Linked DNA regions of Callithrix jacchus. The protein of the gene in region 1 binds, or shares a complex with, the protein of each later gene. Links are inferred from orthologs where the notes say so. Each region holds a gene or a part of one and is shown on either strand. Other genes may lie near its edges.

Evidence for each region.
Region 2: the proteins of GIPR (region 1) and GIP are in contact, whole or in part, in a cryo-EM structure (PDB 7RA3), measured with the Homo sapiens proteins. The link is inferred for Callithrix jacchus from reciprocal best matches to the Homo sapiens genes GIPR and GIP. Residues at the interface, in NP_000155.1 of Homo sapiens: Gln30, Thr31, Ala32, Leu35, Tyr36, Trp39, Tyr68, Trp71, Leu88, Trp90, Arg101, Arg113, His115, Asn120, Gln130, Arg131, Leu134, Glu135, Leu137, Gln138, Tyr141, Tyr145, Arg183, Ile187, Arg190, Asp191, Pro197, Gly198, Pro199, Tyr200; in NP_004114.1 of Homo sapiens: Tyr52, Ala53, Glu54, Gly55, Thr56, Phe57, Ile58, Ser59, Asp60, Tyr61, Ser62, Ile63, Ala64, Met65, Asp66, Lys67, Ile68, His69, Gln70, Gln71, Phe73, Val74, Trp76, Leu77, Leu78, Lys81.

The regions. Positions count from the first base shown.
Region 1 is NC_133523.1:39,824,879-39,829,259, forward strand, and holds the start of GIPR (gastric inhibitory polypeptide receptor), read left to right. Parts: upstream 1-1,422; 5' UTR 1,423-1,492; intron 1,493-2,667; 5' UTR 2,668-2,711; coding exon 2,712-2,783; intron 2,784-3,806; coding exon 3,807-3,906; intron 3,907-4,381. UniProt on the Homo sapiens protein: This is a receptor for GIP. The activity of this receptor is mediated by G proteins which activate adenylyl cyclase.
Region 2 is NC_133506.1:117,334,274-117,337,595, forward strand, and holds the end of GIP (gastric inhibitory polypeptide), read left to right. Parts: intron 1-598; coding exon 599-700; intron 701-2,451; coding exon 2,452-2,461; 3' UTR 2,462-2,573; downstream 2,574-3,322. UniProt on the Homo sapiens protein: Potent stimulator of insulin secretion and relatively poor inhibitor of gastric acid secretion.

The DNA.
Region 1 (4,381 bases):
CCAGCCTGGAGACAGAGCAAGACTCTATCTCTAAAAAAAAAAAAAAGATTGTATGATATAGACATTTTTTTTTAAATGGGTGGGGCATGGTGGCTCATGCCTGTAATCCCAGCCCTCTGGGAGGCCAAGGCAGGAGGATCATCTGAAGCCAGGAATTGGAGAACACCCTGGTCAACATGGTGAAACCCCATCTCTACTAAAAATACCAAAAAAATTAGCCGGGCAGGGTGCCTCATGCCTGTAATCTCAGCTACTGGAGAGGCTGAGGTGGAAGGATCCCTTGAGCCCAGGAAGTGGAGGCTCTAGTGAGCTATAATTGTGCCAGTGCCCTCCACTCTTGTAAATAAATAAATTAATTTAATTAAAAAAGGATTGTATGGGCCGGATGCAGTGGCTGTGGCCTATAATCACAGCATTTTGGGAGGCCGAGGCAGGTGGATACCTGAGGTCAGGAGGTTTCCTCATCTTGCCCAGACTAGCTTGGGCAACACAGTGAAACCCTGTCTCAACCAAAAATACAAAAATTACCTGGGTGTGGTGGCACACACCTGTGGTCCCTGCTGCTCAGGAAGCTGATGCAGGAAAATCGCTTGAGATGCAGGAAAATCGCTTGAACCTGGGAGGCAGAGGTTTCAGTGAGCTGAGATTGTGCCACTGCACTCCAGCCTGGGCGACAGAGAGAGATTCTGTCTCAAAAAATACAAAACAAAATGATATGTCTGCGAGTAACCAGACAACTGCATACTACACATATTTATTTCATGACCATTCTTCCTTGAACCCCTGCTCTGAATGATTCTGGGGACCCAGTGGTGACCCAGATGTCCTGGCTCTGCCCTCTCAGGTCTCACAGGCTAGCAGGGCAACAGTGTTTGTGACGAAACTCAGTGGCTGCGCGAATCTGCGTGTGATCGAGTGTTGTTGGAACTTGGGACACTGTGAGTGTGACTGTGTGTGGGAGTCCATGGCCCTGGGCATGTGGCTGTGTCACTATGGATGACTGTCTGCCTGTGAGTGAGGAGCTGTGGCTCTCTGGGTGTGACCATGGGACTGTAGGGCTGTGACTGAACTTGCGGCTGTGTGAGTAACAGTTTGTGAGATTCTGTGACTGTGCCTCTCCACGGCTCAGCCTATGGGATTGTGTGACACTGCATGTTTTGATTGAGTGAGTGAGGCTCTGGGAATGAGTGACTGGGTGGGGGGGACCTGTGGGTGGGACAGCATGAGAGATTGTGCACACTTGGTACAGGGGTCCTCAGGACGATAAGAACAATTCAGTAACTGCCCTCCCTCATGACCTTGATGACTGCCCCCTGCTCAGCTCTCTGCCCCAGAGCTCCCCACTTCCGTTCCCCGTCCGCCTTGGCCCCGCCCCCTCCCACCACCCCGGGCTGCCTGCGCCTGTCACCTCTCCCGGAGCCCAGATGAGACAGTGGAGGCAGCGGTGGCAGGGGCTGCGGGAGCAAGGGACCAGGAGCAGGACTGGGGACAGGTGAGGGCTCCCCAGTCCCAGCCCATTCCTCCTGCCCCCCTCCACCCCTCAAGTCTCTGGGACTCTCCTCCTCTGCTTCTCTGCCCTGCCTTTGTCTCTGTCTCTGTGCCCACCACAGTCTCTGCTCATCTCTGTCTCTTGATGTCTCTGTGTGTCTTCATCTCTGCTGAGCTGAGATACCCTTTTTCCCCCTTGCTGTCTCCCTGCACTTCTCTCCCTCCTCTTTGTCTTCTAGCCCACATCTGTGTCTCTCTGTTTCTTGGTCTCTGGTCTCTGTCCGGGGATCTCATTCTGTCCCTCAGTCTCTGTGCCTCTCGGTCTTTATATTTCTGTCGCTTGTGTCTGTGACGCCGTTGTCTGGGGTTGGATCTGAGATCCTCTCTGCTTCCCTCTTTCTCTACGTGGAGTTGCGGGGGCACGGGTGGGTGGGTGGGTGGGTGGTGGGCGGTGGGCGTTACATAGACGGCTTTCCAGGCATCTGCACACACCTAACCCCGGATCTGTCGCCTTTCCCGTCCCTGAGTATTTGGGTGCTGGGAAAGGCTTGTCCCACTTCCTTGGGCTTTATCTGCCCCCACCGGGGAAAGTTTTATAAGGTTGGCTTCCTATCTGTGCTACAAAACCCTTTGGGCTTGGAGAGGGAACCTGGAAAGGCATTTCAAGTTCTCCACCAGGCTGGGGAACTCAGGTGGTCGTTTCAAGCACCCCACTAGGAGGAACTGAAAATCTTCGAGTTTTTCAGTCCCCCATATAAAAGGGGGCTAGGCTGATGGTTTCTACTCTCTCTTCTCCAAGGCAGTCCCTGGGTTCCCAGGAGTCTGTAGGTCCAGACTCCCGGTGACACTGACGCTTCCGCCCAGCGTAGCTCTAGGGCAACCGCCCGCTCAGCAAACACCCCCCTTCCACCTTCGCTGCCCGAGCAACCGTCAAGGGCGGCCTGGGAGTCACTTAAGGGGCCCTGCCCACCACCGAGTCCCACCCACTCCGCATGCCTCTCCCTCCCCCCAGATCATCACACCTGGGAGTTGTTGGGGGGGGTTAGGGGGTGTGAGGGAATGATGGGGGGACGAGCTGCCTGGGAGTCTGCATATGTAAATCCCTGAGGCTGGGTGACGCTGGGGATGGAGTCAGAGGGCGGAAGGCTGAGGCGCTCACCCTGCCCTGGGACCCTCCAGGCCTGATCGACCCTGCGCCAACCAGACCCTTCATCACCCTCCCGATGACTACCTCTCCTACCCTGCAGCTGCTGCTGCGGCTCTTGCTGTGGGGGCTGCTGCTACGGAGGGCGGAGGTGAGGACCCGAGGAGCCAGAGGAGCTCCAGGCTTGGAGGGAAGTCTGGGGATGGTTGGTTTTAGGGCTTCCCTAATTAGGGCTCATACCTGTAATCCCAGCACCTTGGGAGGCCGAGGCAGGTGGATCACTTGAGGTCAGGAGTTTAAGACCAGCCTGGTCAACATGGTGAAACCCCATCTCTACTAAAAATTTAAAAATTAGCCAGGTGTAGTGGCACGCACCTGTAGTCCCAGCTACTGGGGAAGCGGAGGCAGGAGAATCGTTTGAGCCCAGGAGGCAGAGGTTGCAGTGAGCCAAGATCACACCACTGCACTCCAGACTGGGTGACAAGAGTGTGACTATCTCAGAGAAATAAAAAAATAAAGCACAAGGAGAGTTTCAAGACTGCCCCACTTGCCCAGATTCAAGTTGTGGGGTTTTGTTTTCTTTTTTGTTTTTGAGACAGAGTCTCACTCTGTCACCCAGGCTAGGGTGCAGTGGTGCCATCTCAGCTCACTACAGCCTCCATCTCCTGGGTTCAAGTGATTATCCGGCCTCAGCCTCCTGAGTAGTTGGGACTACAGGAGCCTGCCACCACCACCACGCCCAGCTAATTTTTGCATTTTTAGTAGAGACGGGGGTCTCACCATGTTGGCCAGGCTGGTCTCGAACTCCTGGCCTCAAGTGATCCACCCACCTCGGCCTCCCAAAGTACTGGGATTACAGGCATGAGCCACCACGTCGGGGCCCAGATTCAAGTTTTGATGATTGTTTCCACTTCCTTTTCTTCCCCCAACAAATCCTCCTGATAATTTCAGCCACCCCTTCCCCAGTTTTCTTGAAGGTTTTCAGTCTCCCATAGCCACTCCATTCGGTGGCTTCCAGGCCCCAAGACTTGAAACTTGGTTCCAAACCACCCAAGACTCCCGAGCAAAACTGGACAGCCCCTCGAAGTCTCTCTGGGGTGCTTCTGGCTCACATGGCCAAGCAGCCCGGGGGCGGGGGTCGGTCTGGGGGGTCCTCCCTTCTTTCTTTTCCTAGACAGGCTCCGAGAGGCAGACGGCGGGGGAGCTATACCAGCGCTGGAAACGGTACCGCAAGGAGTGCCAGGAGACCCTGGCAGCCGCGGAACCGCCCTCAGGTGTGACCAAGAGGGCTGGGGACGCAGGGAGGACCCAAAGCTGAAAGGGGTAGGCTTAGAGGGGGGCTTCGGGCTGACAGGTGAAGAAGAAATCTCGGGTGCTGTGGGCTGGAGAGGCCCGGGGGCTGACCTGGGCGCTGTGGGAACTGGAGCGGGACCACGGTTCCGAGGGGCAGCCTCGGAAGAAGCTTGAAATGGAAGGAGCCTTGGGTGGGACCTGTACTAAAATGGACCTTGAAGGGGATGTGGTTTGGGATGGAGACTGGGTAGGGCCCCTCCGCGTGGGAAGATCTGGGGCGGTGACTTGTTTGGTGGGAGGAGCCTCGAGTGGGGCTGGGAGGGGGCGTGGCTTTGAGGCTAGTGGGAGGGGCTTGTGGCCAACCCGGGACAACATGCACTCCGAGTGGGCGGGGCTAGACCCGGGCTTGGACTGTGGCGGGCCGGGAAGCCCTGGCCCACTGCGCAGCGGGTCCAC
Region 2 (3,322 bases), on another chromosome or scaffold:
ATCCTCTTCCTCTCAGAGTTCAAAGAGGGGTCTTCATTGAGCAAACTCCTGGAGGTCAGCCGGAGCTTAAGGAAGAAGCCCTGGAGGAACAGGGGAGGGGTGCTAGGAGGAGTTTCAGGGACAGGGTTTCTAAGATTGATGACTTCATGCATAGCAGAGTCCCTGTCAGGAGAAGGCCGGGAAAGAAGAGACTCAGGTCCTGGCCTTGCCACCTCGGGAAGGCTGTTTGTGAAAGAAAGGGGGATCTTCCCTGGCTCACTCCCCTGAAATCAGTTACCCCCTCTGAATGGCACAGGGCATTTCAAAGAGTGAATGTGCCCAAAGTACTCTCTGCATCCTGCAACGCTTGCAGAGGTGGATGGGTGGAATATTTCACACCAGAATTCTGTTCGACTCTTCCTGTGTGAGGGGTCCATATTCCCCAGGAAGGCAGTGCTGGATGGGGCTGGCAGAAAGAAGGATCCAGATTTCATAGCTGAGCCAATGGAGAGGCAGCTGTGTCAGCTCCCCTGCAATCCGTGGTGTCCCCAGCCCCGTGTTTACTCTCTCTGGGTAAGGCCCAGGCTAAAATAGTCAGCCAGAGGCTGATCCCTTGCAGGTCCCCACCCAAGAACCCCAGCAATGAAGATTTGCTTCGGGACTTGCTGATTCAGGAGCTGTTGGCCTGCTTGGTGGATCAGACAAACCTCTGCAGGCTCAGGTAGGGAGCGTGGTGCCTCACAGCGGCTCTAACTTGAGTTCGGTAACAGACATGGATTCAGATCTTTGCCCCTCCACGTGCCGGCTGATTACTAGCTTTTCCGAACCTGTGTTTTCATTAAAATCAGAGGTATAGAATCATTTCAAGGGGTTGTAGTGAGTTTTAAATTAGAGAATACAAGTGGAAAAATACAAAGAAAAAAACCAAAAGACAAAAAAGAGACAATTTAAGCAGAGACCTGAGGGCCACATTTGAGGAGTAATAAGAGCTCAGAAAGGTTAGCAGCTCTGATTACTATTTGTTCTTCCTCACTCTTCCAGGCGAGGTGCTGCGCTCTTCTCCCCTGCCTGTCCCTACCCACCGAGCTGAGCCCATTCTGTGTTCTGCCTGTCCCTACCCGCCAAGCTGAGGCCATCCTGTTCTCAGCTCTTTCTCTGTACTCTTGGGCCATGGCACCTTCCTGGTGGTGGGAACCTGCATGGTGGGAGCCATGTTGCCTTTCTCTGTAGCCACTGCTGGCTTCAGTGGTCTCTTGAATCTACCTCACCAGCTAGAAAATTCTTCAGTCCATTCCTTATGTCCCAGAATTGAGGGACTAAATGTTATGAAGAGACCTGTCCACCTAAAGGGTGAGACAGGAATCCCATGGTGCAGACAGGAGGCATGGAAGCCAAAACACTTTAGACTTTGATGCTGAGCAACTGGGGAGAGACTGAGGGAGAAAATCTGGGACAGGAACTTCAGGAAGGGAAGAAGGGACAGGAGTGTGAGCAGATCAATGGAGAAGAGGGTGTGCAAAAATCTCTGTAGGGAGGTGGATAACAGTCTCTGTACTTTTGTGAATTATTTTGATTACTTATCATTAAAATGGTGATTTGAGAGGGCAGAGATGGGAGCATTTGCTTGAGACCAGGAGTTCCAGACTGCAGTGATATATGATTTCACCTGTAAATAGTCACTGCACTCCAGCTTGGGCACCACAGTGAGACTGTCTCAAAACTGAGTAAACTGGCCGGGCGCGGTGGCTCACGCCTATAATCCCAGCACTTTGGGAGGCTGAAGTGGGCAGATCACCTGAGGTCAAGAGTTCAAGACCAGCCTGGCCAACATGGTGAAACCCCGTCTCTACTAAAAATGAAACAAAACAAAACAAAACAAAAAACCCAACAAAACAACAAAAAAAACCCTAAGTAAAATGATTAAAAATATATATATATATATATTTGAGACGGAGTGTCGCTGTTGTTACCCAGACTGGAGTGCAATGGCACGATCTCGGCTCACCGCAACCTCCACCTTCTGGGTTCAAGCAATTCTCCTGCCTCAGCTTCCCGAGTAGCTGGGACTACAAACACGCACCACCGTGCCCAGCTAATTTTTGTATTTTTCTTAGAGACGGGTTTCACCTTGTTGACCAGGATGGTCTCGATCTCTTAACCTCGTGATCCACCCGCCTTGGCCTCCCAAAGTGCTGGGATTATAGGTGTGAGCCACCGCGCCTGGCCTTAAAAAATGGTCAGGCTGGTCTTGAACTCCTGACCTCAGGTGATCCACCAGCCTTGGCCTCCGAAGTGCTTGGATTACAAGTGTGAGCCACCACGCCTGGCCCTTAAAAATAAAAAATTTTTAAAAGGTGATTTAAATGTAGGAGGGATTCAACAATGGCTGAGTCCCAGGAGAAATGTGCTTGGCCTACTGCAAGTCCCTAACAACCTTCCTCTCTACCACTTCTCCTTTTCCCACTGTCCCAGGTCTCGGTGACTCTGACCACACCCAGCTCAGGACTGGATTCAGCCCTTCACTTAGCTCCTGCCTCAGCCCCACTCTGGAGTAGAAAAGAAAAGCCAAACCAATAAAGTCTATGCTGAGATAAGTTGAGTCCATTGTGAAAATGTATTCAAATGACTACTGAGCACTAACAGGGCACGTTTGTCTTTGTGTATCTCTGTATGTGCTGGTACCACCCAATGGAAAAGAAATATGGTCTGGGCATGGTGGCATTTGCCCGTAATCCCAGTACTCTGGGAGACTGAGGCTGGAGGATTGCTTAACACCAGGGGTTTGAGACCAGCTGGGTAACATAGTGAGACCCTCGTCTTCTTTTTTTTTTTTGAAATGGAGTCTCATTCTGTTGTCCAGGCTGGAGTGCAATGGCATGATCTCAGGCATGAGCCATCGCGCTGGCCTGAGACTCTATTTTTAGAATAAAATAAAAAAAAGGAATGGGTTCGGTAGTGCAAGTCTGTCATACCAGTCTTTGGGAGGCCGAGGTGGGCGGATCACCTGAGGTCAGGAGTTTGAGACCAGCCTGGTCAACATGGCAAAATTCCATCTCTACTAAATGTACAGAAATTAGCTGGGCATGATGGCAGGCACTTGTTTGTAGTCCCAGCTACTCCAGAGGCTGAGGCAGAAGAACCACTTTGACCCAGGAGGCGTCACTTTGACCCAGGAAGTGGAGGTCTTAGTGAGCTGAGATTGTGCCACTGCACTCTAGCCTAGGTAACAGAGCAAGACTCTGTCAAAAAAGAAAAGAAAAAAGAAGTCCGGGCGTGGTGGCTCACACCTGTAATCCAAGCACTTTGGAGGCCAAGGCAGGCAGATCACCTGAGGTCAGGAGTT